Struthio camelus: one gene and its partners. The protein of the gene in region 1 interacts with the protein of each later gene in a biochemical or structural test. Links are inferred from orthologs where the notes say so. Each region holds a gene or a part of one and is shown on either strand. Other genes may lie near its edges. The genes, in order: RUFY1, RAB4A and RAB14.

Region 1 (3,748 bases):
CAAGTCAGTCTCAAGAAGAAGCACATAAAATCCTATCTTCTCCATAGGCTGTTTCCAACATATCACTATCTACAGTCAGTATAGTGGATGCCTCAAAACTGCTTATAATGTCCGAGATGAGACTGAGAATTAGAAGGGTTGTAATATTTTTAAATGTTGATGTCAGTATTGCCAGGCTACACGTTAGGAACAGAAAAAAGGCTGACTATGGAAATAGGAAATCAGTGGCCTTGCTTAGATGTTAGGATGCTTCAATGGCAACTCATCGAGTTATTTTGACGATTTCCTGAGACTGGATTTTTACTTGTCAGGCATGTTTTGCTTGTGAGCTTTGCTCAAGGGCTAGGTATCATATCAGCCACAAGTCTTTTTTTAAACGAATTTTGTGAATGATAATTTATTTATGAACAAAAATTTAAATGTAAACCATGTCTTCATAAGCATTTGTACTAAGTACTAGTTAGTACAATCTGAACTATTTTTTAAACAGTTGCAAGGTTGGACAGTCAAGTGCATCTTTTCTAAAACCATGTACAAGTTGGTACATGCAAAAAAGCCAGATACTAGAACAGCGCGATCTACCAAAGCAAGGCCTGGAAGATTAGGAATCGAGTTACTTAAGTGCAAAAGATCACACACGTTATGATGCGGTCATTAAAAACACCGTCACACAGTCTCTTACCTCATCCAATTCAACAGATTTGTTTTAACATCATTTTGAAGCCCCCGTGCCTTGTTTACTGCACACTATTCAGCAGGCCTTGAGGTAGGAAAAAAACTGAAGTATGAAGAAACCTTGACTGTTCTCCACCTCTTGGTCTATAAAACTGCAAGTCTTTCTTGATTTGTATTTAAATTGGTAGCTCCCTATCTTTCCAGCCAAGCGGGACAGTTTCATCAGTAGTACACGCTAGTTTTATGGTGTGCCTTTCCTTTTATCTGTCCAGTTTGCTGTGGAGTGTGCAGTGGTGACTTTTCAAGTGATCAACATACCTGAAGTAGCAGGTAGAGATTATAAAATCTCTGGAAAAGAGGGCAACAAGGAACAAGTTACTAGCACTCCACATATCTTCTTGCAGGCCACAGAACTAGAGGTTATTTATTTAATACCTGCTTTAAATCAAATTTACTGTTCTCAGTCAAGGGTAACGGTGAAGCCTTTTACACAGGAGGGCAGAATAGGTCATCTAGTGCCTGTTCACTTTTTTTTTTTTTTTAAATAAGTTATAAGCAGATTTTTCTCATGGAATTTTCTATAAACGTTGTTCAAAGTATTTGGATAATACGTTCATAATCTGGTGAGGTGGAGTTGCATTCCCTCATTTTACAGATAGGAAGCTGCAAGATTATGGTGAAAGTCCCATGAAGCCTGGGGACTCTCATTTCAGGCAGAATGTTTTAACAGCCCTCTCCTCTACCCCCAGCAAATGCTGCATGTGCTGTTGTACTATGTGTGTTCACAGCAGCGATCCCAATGCACCTGAAGACAGTGGGATATTTTGTCCTTCCTCAGGTTAGATTCCAGGTTCTCACGCTGGGCATCCAGAAAACAAATCTGTTAAATGTGGTCTGAGACTGTGTAATAGATGCAGGGAAAGCGAAATTGTGTCCTGGAAAACTAGATTATTATTTTAAACTCTCCTGACTATACAAAAATCAAGGAATTTTCATTGAAAAAAATCCCCCCCCACCCACCACGAGTAGCTTATTTCACCACATAGCCACAATTCATCCCCAGAGAACTCCAGCTTGAGTACTAAATATCATGAAAAACAAGAAGGTCAGAACCATAACTGAGCTCTGTTGGTCCAAAAAAATCACTAAGCGCTAGCCTGAAAGCCTGGAGGACAAGACTAATGTGACCAGTTACCACTACATTTGAATGGTTTTGTTTCCAGTGCCCGAATATCACTGAGGTGGTACCAAAGGATTCAATTCGCATAAGGATCCAACTAAAGCCCTTTTAGTTCAGCTGTAAAAGACTCGTTCCGTAAATCCATATGGATTGTTATACCCACAAATATGGATGTTTAATAAAGCAAGCTGTAGTTAACTTAAGGGGGCATTTTTAGCATAGTGAAAAAGAAGTAATTCATGACAAGTCTTTGTCTTAGTCTACCTTGTGTCACAAAAAATCATACCACAAGTATAGCTCCTTCTCTGAACCGCCTAGGAAGGATAAGAAATGAGCCACATCACCTACTAGTGCAGTCAGGCTGCTGCTAAGGAGAACTTTAAGGGAGAAGGCAAAAGTAATCAAAAGCCTTATGTACAGAAAATAAAGTCAAATTTTCCGAATATATTCAGAGTTTACGATTTTTCTAGTTAGAATATACTTTGTTCAGTTCTACATCTGTGGTGTTTGTGTAGTTTTGCTTCCATTAAATAGCGCAGCATCAGATTTTTAAAAATAAATTCAGAGTAATAATAATGCCTCACTGACACTGATAAATGCCACTTACGGGAGCTAACTAACTTATTTGTGCACCATAAAAGCAAGTTTACTAAATAAACATAACCATACTTGTTTTTGCTGTGTTGTCATTGCTGACTGGTTTGGATATGAATCCTACCAAAGATGCAGACTTCAGAGCGTTGCCATAGCTCAGCGCTAAGTTTTCTGAGGCTTTCTTAGCCAGCGACAAGATGGGAGCAGACCATCTTGCTTCTTCCGCAGTTTTCTCTTTTCCCTCGTTTTTCAGCTCAGGGGTATTAGGGATCAGGTTTTTGTCAATAATTTCAAAGTCTTCTTTCTGTTCCGCGGCAGATGGGCTCTCCCCTTCGGCCATCTTTGAAGTGTCATATGACGCTAGTCATGAGCAATCGAGTTGGCAGGGCCTCCGCCCTCCCCCGCCTTCTCACTGCAGCTTGGGAGCCAGGTACGTAAGAGCAAGCTGAACGACTCTAAAACTGTTGCATGCCTAAGCAAGGCTGTAAGACAAGCCTTTCCAGAACTGTGAGCAGTTTTCCCGATGTTCGAAGTTAAAGGCTTGGGGAAGGGAGGCGTGGAAGGAGTAAAGGTTTACTTTTTAAACAAAGTTACGGAGGTAACCAAAAACACACCTTGGAGTTATTTATTGCATACTATGTTCCTAAACATTATTTTCAATTAGAATCTTTGCAGTAACCTTTGAAATCCCACATTTTTTGCATTATTTTATGACAACTTAGAGAGATACTACTCTGTCTATAACTCAAGCCATCCGAACTTGATTAAAATAGTGGATACATATGGCAGGTCTGGAGCAGTGAAAAGTGCTCGCTCACATCCTGACATTACAAAATAGCTGTAATCAGAAAGGCTGCTTCATTAACGTAGCTTGGCTGCATTTGGTAGAAAAGATTTATCATGAAGGAGAACTGAATTGATGCTAGCTGGAAAGTTTGACCTTACTAGGTGTCTCGAATATCAATGTAGCCTGCAGAGGCATGGTTTAGCATTCATTTTCTCCATCCAGCAGCTGTATATCCCCAAGATACGTCACTCATTTAATCATGATATAGTAAATGTTGCATATTAGCTCTTCTTGCTATACTGACTGAGGAAGGCATTTTTTGTTAGCTTTGTTTTATTTTTGCTAAGAAATATCCAGACTGTGAGAAGGGGGGGGGGGGGAAGGAAAAGAGGGGAGGGAACAGCAGAGTTGGAGATCAATTTCAGTAGTCTTGCAGCAAAGGAAATCTTCAGGTCTGTGTCTTATTTGTTCTCCTACTCTAAACTATTTTAAGATTTATTCTGCCTCCTAGG
Region 2 (3,748 bases), on another chromosome or scaffold:
CTGTTCTTATGGTCTTTCCAAAGCACCAACAGGACATTGTAAAATTGCATACTGGTTACTGCCTTGGTTGCAGATAGTACAGCTATTGTTAAATTCTACGTCATCTCATAGCTTACATTTTTTGTTCTTCCATTTATCCTAAATCATGCCATTATCTTCAGTTTTCCAGCTCGGAATTCCTGTAGCTTGATGTATATAAACAGAACAATCACTGACATTCAAAAGAGAAATATACCGAAAACCCCACCACCTCTTTAGAACACCACAATAACCCAAACTCTTCAATTTCAAGGGTGTGTTTTTAGGACATCAAAACAATCAGAGAGTATCAGCAATGCTAGTGGGTTTAAAACTATTTTGACTCACTGGAACAATGCAAAAAGTGCTGAAATGTACTTGTTTAAGATGCAATTATTTATCTTGATGCTGTAATAGCAAGCAGGTTAAGAAGGAATACTGCTGGAATTATCTCTATCATCGCTGGTTGTCTACCCATCCATCTGCTTAAAGACTACAAATCCCACCATAAACATAGCCAAAGCGATCTCGATCCTTAACTGCAACAGCTCAGAGCATGAAGAATTAGCTCAAACTCACATCTAAATCAACAAAGCACATCTCTTTGGCCTGATTTCTACGCATGCGTTTTGCTTGTTTGGAGAAAACACCAAAAGAAGAAACAGGGTCTTGCTATCCTAACATTTGCACTTAAAGGGCTGCCCCGCACTTTTGCCTCATTTTCCCCAGTAGTTCTGTGCTTTTTCCCGTATACTGAAACACTCATCATAGTGGGACAAAGTACCCTAAGCACTCCTGACCAGGCTACTGAAAATATACAGAGACTTATACAACAGTAACAATAAGATCAGCTAGCCTACTAATAAGAACTGACAGTGATGCCAGTCTCCCTCAGATCAACAAGCTTTAGCAGTGAGTCGACTTGCCGCATCTAATTTCACTATAATTATCCAAACTATATATTATTTATCAGGATTCTGCTCTAAAGACAGAGAGACACAAGTGCAGATCCCAAGCTCAACCAATTACTGAGGATAACAGTCTGCAACAGACAAAGCCAGAAAACGAGAAATTAAAGGGCTCATCACAGTATATCCAATTCCAATCTCATCCTCCAGCAATCCAACACAGGGACTCTAAAAATAATATTTAGAGGTATGACAGGATTTTTATACAGTAAATAAAAGCATTACAGGATACAGAACTATGTTATGGAAAGAGAAAAAACATACGAGGTTGATTCAAGAACTCAAAGTTACAAACACGAGAAATGAATATTATCCAGTCACTTCCCATATGCTCCACCCAGCCAGCAGTATCAGCTCTACCTACCTATTGGACTCCACACATTGATGTGCCTTTAATGCACTGACTCACCCCACCAGAGCTTGCACTCTTACGACTTACGCCTTCAGATGTTTTTCTGCTATAATGCTCATAGGAAACACCACATAGTAGTCAGATGTCCATGCTAATACAGAGATGAACAAACTTTTTAGTTCTTTTTTTACTTACTCACCCTCACAGTTTCTTCTTTTTAATGTTTGTGTATCTAGGAAAATAAGACTACAATCCTAATTTGACCCTCAAAAGAACACTGTCCCCAATTTTACAATAAAAGCAGCTTCGTCCTAGAGGGCATGCACTGCAATTTTCCTTCTGAATTAACTTAAAGATAACAAAGAAGTAGTGCCTAAATTTTCTGGCTAGTATTTTACTTACCTTTTGAGTCATCAATACTTCTCAACATTGAAAAATAATTTTGAATAGGCACTATCACATCAGTGTGAGCTGGACAACAGAGGGAGGAGTAATAGGCTGTAGTGAACATTGCTAATAAAGAGTAGGAAAAAAAGAAAAACAAACAAACCAGAAGGCAAGAAGCCTGTCTGAAGCATAAGGCCAAACAGCTACCATAGCCTAGAACTTCAAAACTCATGCCACACTGGATCAGTCCCTGATCTACCACCTCTTCTCTGCTTTCTTCAGCAAGGGCCATAGCTTCCTACTCCAGATGGTGATTAACTCGGCACAGTCAACAGCACAACGCCAGAGGCGGGGGACACTTTGCTACAACCTTTACCACACTGACACTTCGTTCACCCGCTAGGGCTCGGGAATAAACACCGCGGTTCAGAGCCGGCCCCGGCTCAAAGCCTCGGCGGAGGCGAGCCTCGCTCCCTAGCCAGCGCCCGCGCGCTGGGCTGGGCCGGCCCGGCCCCGGCCCCCGCTGGGGAAGAGCCGCACCGCCGGGCCGGGGGTCTCCCGCTCACAGCGACCCCTCCCCGGGGGCGCAAGCGCCTGCCCCGCCCGGGCCCCGGCTCCTACCGTAGGTCTCGGACATGGCCGTCTGCGACATTTTGGGAGCTGCGAGTCTCCCCTCCCCGGCAGAGGCTTGCGGCCCCTCAGAACCGAGGGGGCAGGCCGGGGGGGAGACGGACAGGTCCACGCAACAGCAGCAACCACCGCCGCCACCACCAACTGCGCCGCTTCAGCCCAGCCGCCAACGGCAGCAACGGCCACCACCGCGCATGCGCGTCCGAGCCGCCTCGGCCTCCGCCCCTCGCGGCGGCGGCCGAGGTGTGGGGCGGGGGGGGGGGGAAGAGCGCCGCCTCGCTGCGCAGGCGCGCCGGGCTCATGCCCCGCAGCCCCGCCTCCCCGCCGTTCCCCTTCCAACGGCCGTCACCAAAACAAGGCGCACGTGCGGGGCTGCGGCGCCGCGCAGCCGTTGGGGGGCGGGGCGCGAGGGCGGCCCACGTGACTGGCTGCTCTACCCCGGTGGTGGCCGCCATGTCGCACGAGTGTGGGCTCGTCTCTGTCTGCTCCCTGGGAGCTCTTCGTCCTAGCCCTGCTCTCTGTTTTCCCCAGTCTCAGAGGGCTGTTCTGGTACTCCATCTGGGGCTGCATCAGGAAGCCCTGGGGGCTGCCAGAGCTAACACAAGTCGGGCGTACAACTTGTGGGTGGCAGGCTGGTCGCAGGTTCCCCGAAACGTGCTCCGTTTCCTCCGTGGTCGCAGGGTGTGCGCCCGATAGGCCACAGACATTTAGGAAACACGGCCTCACCGCCGCTCTGCTGTGCGGTAGCCCAGTGCGTAGTAGCTGTAGCTGTCCTGGAAGTCCCGGGTATACGAGACAGCTGTACCCACAAAGTGTGGGCGATGGTGGGGCTAGCTGCAACTCTGCCAAGATAACAGACGCCTCAGTTCTGCATGCGCTGAGGTCATGTTGATTTCTAAGGCTTGAATAATCTTAACGTTTTCCTTGTCCAGAGAAAACTCCATTATTTAAAGATATCCCATTCCATTCTGATGTCTGTGCTGGAAGTTGAACTGATGATTAAAAAATTCCCTTCAGTTCTTTCTGGAAAATAGTAGCCTCTGAGGCCATTCCTCCTGGGAGCTGAGTGCTCCTGTTTGGCGACTTGTCAGACGGCTGTCAGAGGGCATAGTCCCTGAATTCTGGTGTTTTTTGAGCTGCTGGGATCTCAGCCGATTCCAGTTAATTTTCCTGCCAGCAAGTCTGCAAACGCTTTTCCCCAGGTACAGAACCTGCCTGTGATGGTCCTTCCTGAAAACTGTATTCCACTGTCCAACTTTTTGTCCTAAAGCATCTGTTCTAGACTCGTTAAGATCCTTCCCCAAAAAACTTTCCCCCCATTTCAGTCAAGGGCTAAGCCTTTTGCCGTATATCCTTTTGAGGTACGTGGTGATATGTATAAGCTAACAGACAG
Region 3 (3,748 bases), on another chromosome or scaffold:
GACAAGCAGAGATACCAACCAGACAAACTACTTCTGATCTGCTTTTGAAGATCACTCCACATGTTCCCATTATCTCCACATCCAGTTATTCTTCCTTTAAAAAAAAAAAAACCACACACCAAAACCACACACACACAAGGCCTACAGGCTCCCGGGGTTAGACCAAACTTACACCTGTACAGACCCTTATTTCAAGCTGCTCTTGAAGAAGGGCATTTGCTGCATTCCTTAATCATGTAAAACACCGTAACTCAACCTGAGGTCTATTAAGTATTCCTAGAAATTCCACAGCCCTTTACCACCCTTCCTATATGATGATTTTGACCCCTCCCCCTTAAAAACCACACACACATCAAGACTACATATCAAACCATCTTCATCTTTTGATTTTCCTCAGTTATCCAGTCCTACTCCAATTGTATTTGTTATCCTTTTAATGCTTTCACATCCTGCTCTATCAAGCCCCATTTTGTTTCTGAAACTTCTTGTATTTATATACACACACCCACCTCTTATTTCTTACTAACCACACCTAGCACCCCAGCTAAATTAAATATGACATACCTGTACTCAATGAGAGCACTCTCTCCAATGCCTGCTTTTAGCCATAGGAGTTCTTTATCCATCTGCATATCCTCATTTACCCACTTTCCTCTTTATAACAGGAAGTCTAGTTCAACCTGCACCATGTGTCTTGAGGTTGCAGAACTAAGTTTCAGACAGGTAGCAGATAAGCTTAGGAGATAGCAAATATGGAAGCTAGAAGAGTTATGCTGTTAGTCTAATAAATCAATATAGAAATACATGAAACTAGAGTCATCAGCTTGGAAGAAGTATATTTTTGAACAAAATTAAGTAAGGAAAATAGCAAGATGAGAACCATTCACAAGTAGATTCCATTAGAGACACAGGAACAAGCAAGTAGTTTTAAAGTTCTCTTTACGTTTTTAATCCTAGTACCTCTAGTATAACAGGTTTGTTTTCAGATTGCTGTCTTTCACAATAACTTTTTTCTTTGGGTGACTCTCCAAATGGGAAGAGAATGGAGAAGCTTCTTCCTACAACTCAGATCTAGGCCAGGTTCAAATCCTACAGGAAGCTAGCAGCTTCCTTTTTAAGCATATTCAACTATTTGATTTTTAGGTATGAAGTCTTCCAGAGTGGGATTTTCTTGCTCATGCCCGCGTAACACTCGAGCACAACAGGCCCTCGACCCAAACTGAGATAGAAACAGATCCCAGAAGAAATGCATCTCAAATGAAAACATTTAGGTGTTAAAAGAATTAAATTTCTGACTCGTGGGTTGAAATTGTTCAAGTAGTCTTTGTCCTAAATCAATCTTGCTCATAAAAGGGCACTTTTACATCTTCAGAAACGTGCAAAGCACCTTTCTCCTTCAGAGATTCACTCCCTTTTGGAGACCTAGAAAGCACAATCCACATCAAATAATCTCAAGAGCAATACACCCATAGAAGGAAAGAAAGACAGACCCCAACACAGGTGCTTTTTCCTGTGTTTACTGCAAGGATGAAGCCAGTATGTTTTCAGTTCAAGACAAAACCATCCACGGGTGTCACAGAATCCTTAAAAAAGGTACCGCAAATAGACAATAGGCAACGAGGTGGGGAGGGAAAAAAAAAAAGGCAATTTCATTCTTCTGTTTGGACAGAAGAGTCGCTGAGAAAAGAAAAAACAGAACAAGTCTAGAATGCTTTTGCCACTTCCTCAAATAGGAAGTGGCATAGATTTGTTGCCTTTTTTTTTTTTTTTAAATATGAAGGTTATTTTTCTACCCGAGCTCCCGACAGCACGGGTCCGCCCGGAGAACAGCGGGCGCGCAGGCAGCCTAGCAGAGGCGCGCAGCTGCGGCAGGTGAGGCGCGCTCGCACCCCCCGGCCCCAGGTGCGCCATGGCGGCGCGCCCCGCGGGGCGCACAGGAGGGAAGGGGAGGCGGCGGCGACCAACAGCAGCAGCGCCGCGAGGCCTAGCGGCTGCCCAACCCACCTCACCCTCCGCGGCCCCACACGCATCCGCGGCGCCGGGCGACGAGGGAGAGCGGCCGAGGCTGGGCAGCGCCGCGGCCCCGACTAGGCCGGGCCGCGGGCAGCGGCAGCAGGAAGGGCTCCCCCCTCCCCGGCGGGTCGGGAGGCGGACGGCGACCTGCTGCAGCTCCCCCCCGCCGCGGCAGGCCCGCGAGGGCCCGGCCGGGAGCGGAACCGGCCGGCGGGCACCGCCGCGGGGGCCTAGCGCGCTCTAGGCCCGGCCGGGCGGGCGCCTCTCGCCGGCTCCACCTCACCTGGGCTCGGGGAGCGGGTGGCTGTGCAGCTTGGCTCTGTCGGCGGCAGCCCGGTCCCCGCTGTGGGCACGGCGAGCGGCTCCGCTTCGGGCTGGGCTGGGTTGGGTTGGGCAGGGCAGCGGCCGGGCCGAGTCTCCGCCTTTTTCTGGGGCTCCCTCCGGCTTCAGTTCCGCTGGCTCCACTGCGCCCCCATCACCTCCCCCCGCCCCCGCCAACCCTTATCCAAAATGGCGGCGCCCCTCGCACGGGGTTTCCCCTCCCACTCTCGACGGGCGCCGGGGCCGCACAAAGGTGGGCGCGAGAGCCCGCGCCGCAGCCAATCGCGGAGGCCGCGCGCCCCACGGCGCCCGCCTTCCCGGCGGGGCGGGCCACGGCGCCAGGCGCGAGCGCGCGCACCTCTCCCCCCCACCTCCCCCCCGCTCCATCGCCCCGCCCCATCGCCCCGCCCCGCCCCGCTCCGGCGCGCGCCGAAGGGCGGGCGGGAAAGCGGCGGGCGGGGCGGCGGTGGTTGCTCGCGCGCTCGCCTCACGGGCGCTCGCCTCACGGGCGCTCGCCTCACGGGCGCTCGCCTCACGGGCGCTCGCCTCACGGGCGCGGCCCCGCCCCTCTCCTCAGGAGGGCGCCATGGCGCAGCGGAGCCGCCTGCCGTGAGCGTCCTGAGCCGTGAGCCCGCCCAGGTGAGGGCGGGCGGGTCCGGGCGCGGGAGCGCCCAGCGGGTGCCAGCAGCCCAAATTGATGGGGGGGGGGAAGGACACGAGAAAAGCACACATAGGCCAAGAAACACCATAAAAACGAGACCTGAAGGTCTCAAAATTAGACCTGTGGGGAGGGTCTCGCGACAGTCCAACGTCTTGTTGCGCCTAGGTCGAGGGGCAGGTGTGAGCCCGCACGTTCGCTCTACCCAAACCGATGAGAGAACAGGAGGGAACCTCAGTCTGGCAAAGGTGCTGCCACATCCAGGCCTCCCGGAAAGATGATGGTTTACTGGAGTGACCTACGGAGTAACACAAGTGCGATGTGTTGTAAAAGTGCCAATATGGGATGATAAAACATCGATACTATGACTAGAACGTTCAAAAAAAAAAAGGCTCTGGATAGTAATGCAGCTTTACGTTCTAATACAGATTACAAATAACTGAACAAAAATAACATGAGATACTAATGAAAGCATCTTTTGTATGCAGATGTGATAAACATACTGCTTAAATCTACTGTATGTGCAAAAGGTGAGTGAGCAAGTGTTAACACTGAAGAAAATCTCAGCTTTTCCACTTTTCCACTGTGGAAAAGTAAAGTGATACTCCTGGAAGCTGCCCACCAGACAGGAAATCATACTGCCCTTTGGCCCTTGGTGTTCCCACCTGAAAAGTCACTACTGTAGCTGCCTCCAAATTACTACATTTATTTTTTTATCTGACCTACAAGCACAAGTCAGGGTCTTTCCTAGGAACA

Evidence for each region.
Region 2: the proteins of RUFY1 (region 1) and RAB4A form a complex in vitro, tested with the Homo sapiens proteins (2 studies listed by BioGRID). The link is inferred for Struthio camelus from reciprocal best matches to the Homo sapiens genes RUFY1 and RAB4A.
Region 3: the proteins of RUFY1 (region 1) and RAB14 form a complex in vitro, tested with the Homo sapiens proteins (2 studies listed by BioGRID). The link is inferred for Struthio camelus from reciprocal best matches to the Homo sapiens genes RUFY1 and RAB14.

What each region holds. Positions count from the first base shown.
Region 1 is NC_090954.1:6,838,346-6,842,093, reverse strand, and holds the start of RUFY1 (RUN and FYVE domain-containing protein 1), read right to left. Parts: upstream 2,810-3,748; 5' UTR 2,790-2,809; coding exon 2,525-2,789; intron 1-2,524. UniProt on the Homo sapiens protein: Activating adapter involved in cargo sorting from early/recycling endosomes. Regulates retrieval of proteins from endosomes to the trans-Golgi network through interaction with the dynein-dynactin complex.
Region 2 is NC_090944.1:91,388,347-91,392,094, reverse strand, and holds the start of RAB4A (ras-related protein Rab-4A), read right to left. Parts: upstream 2,593-3,748; 5' UTR 2,378-2,592; coding exon 2,347-2,377; intron 1-2,346. UniProt on the Homo sapiens protein: The small GTPases Rab are key regulators of intracellular membrane trafficking, from the formation of transport vesicles to their fusion with membranes.
Region 3 is NC_090961.1:2,924,779-2,928,526, reverse strand, and holds the start of RAB14 (ras-related protein Rab-14), read right to left. Parts: upstream 2,715-3,748; 5' UTR 2,297-2,714; intron 2,187-2,296; exon of another isoform or gene 2,010-2,186; intron 1,873-2,009; exon of another isoform or gene 1,809-1,872; intron 90-1,808; exon of another isoform or gene 20-89; intron 1-19.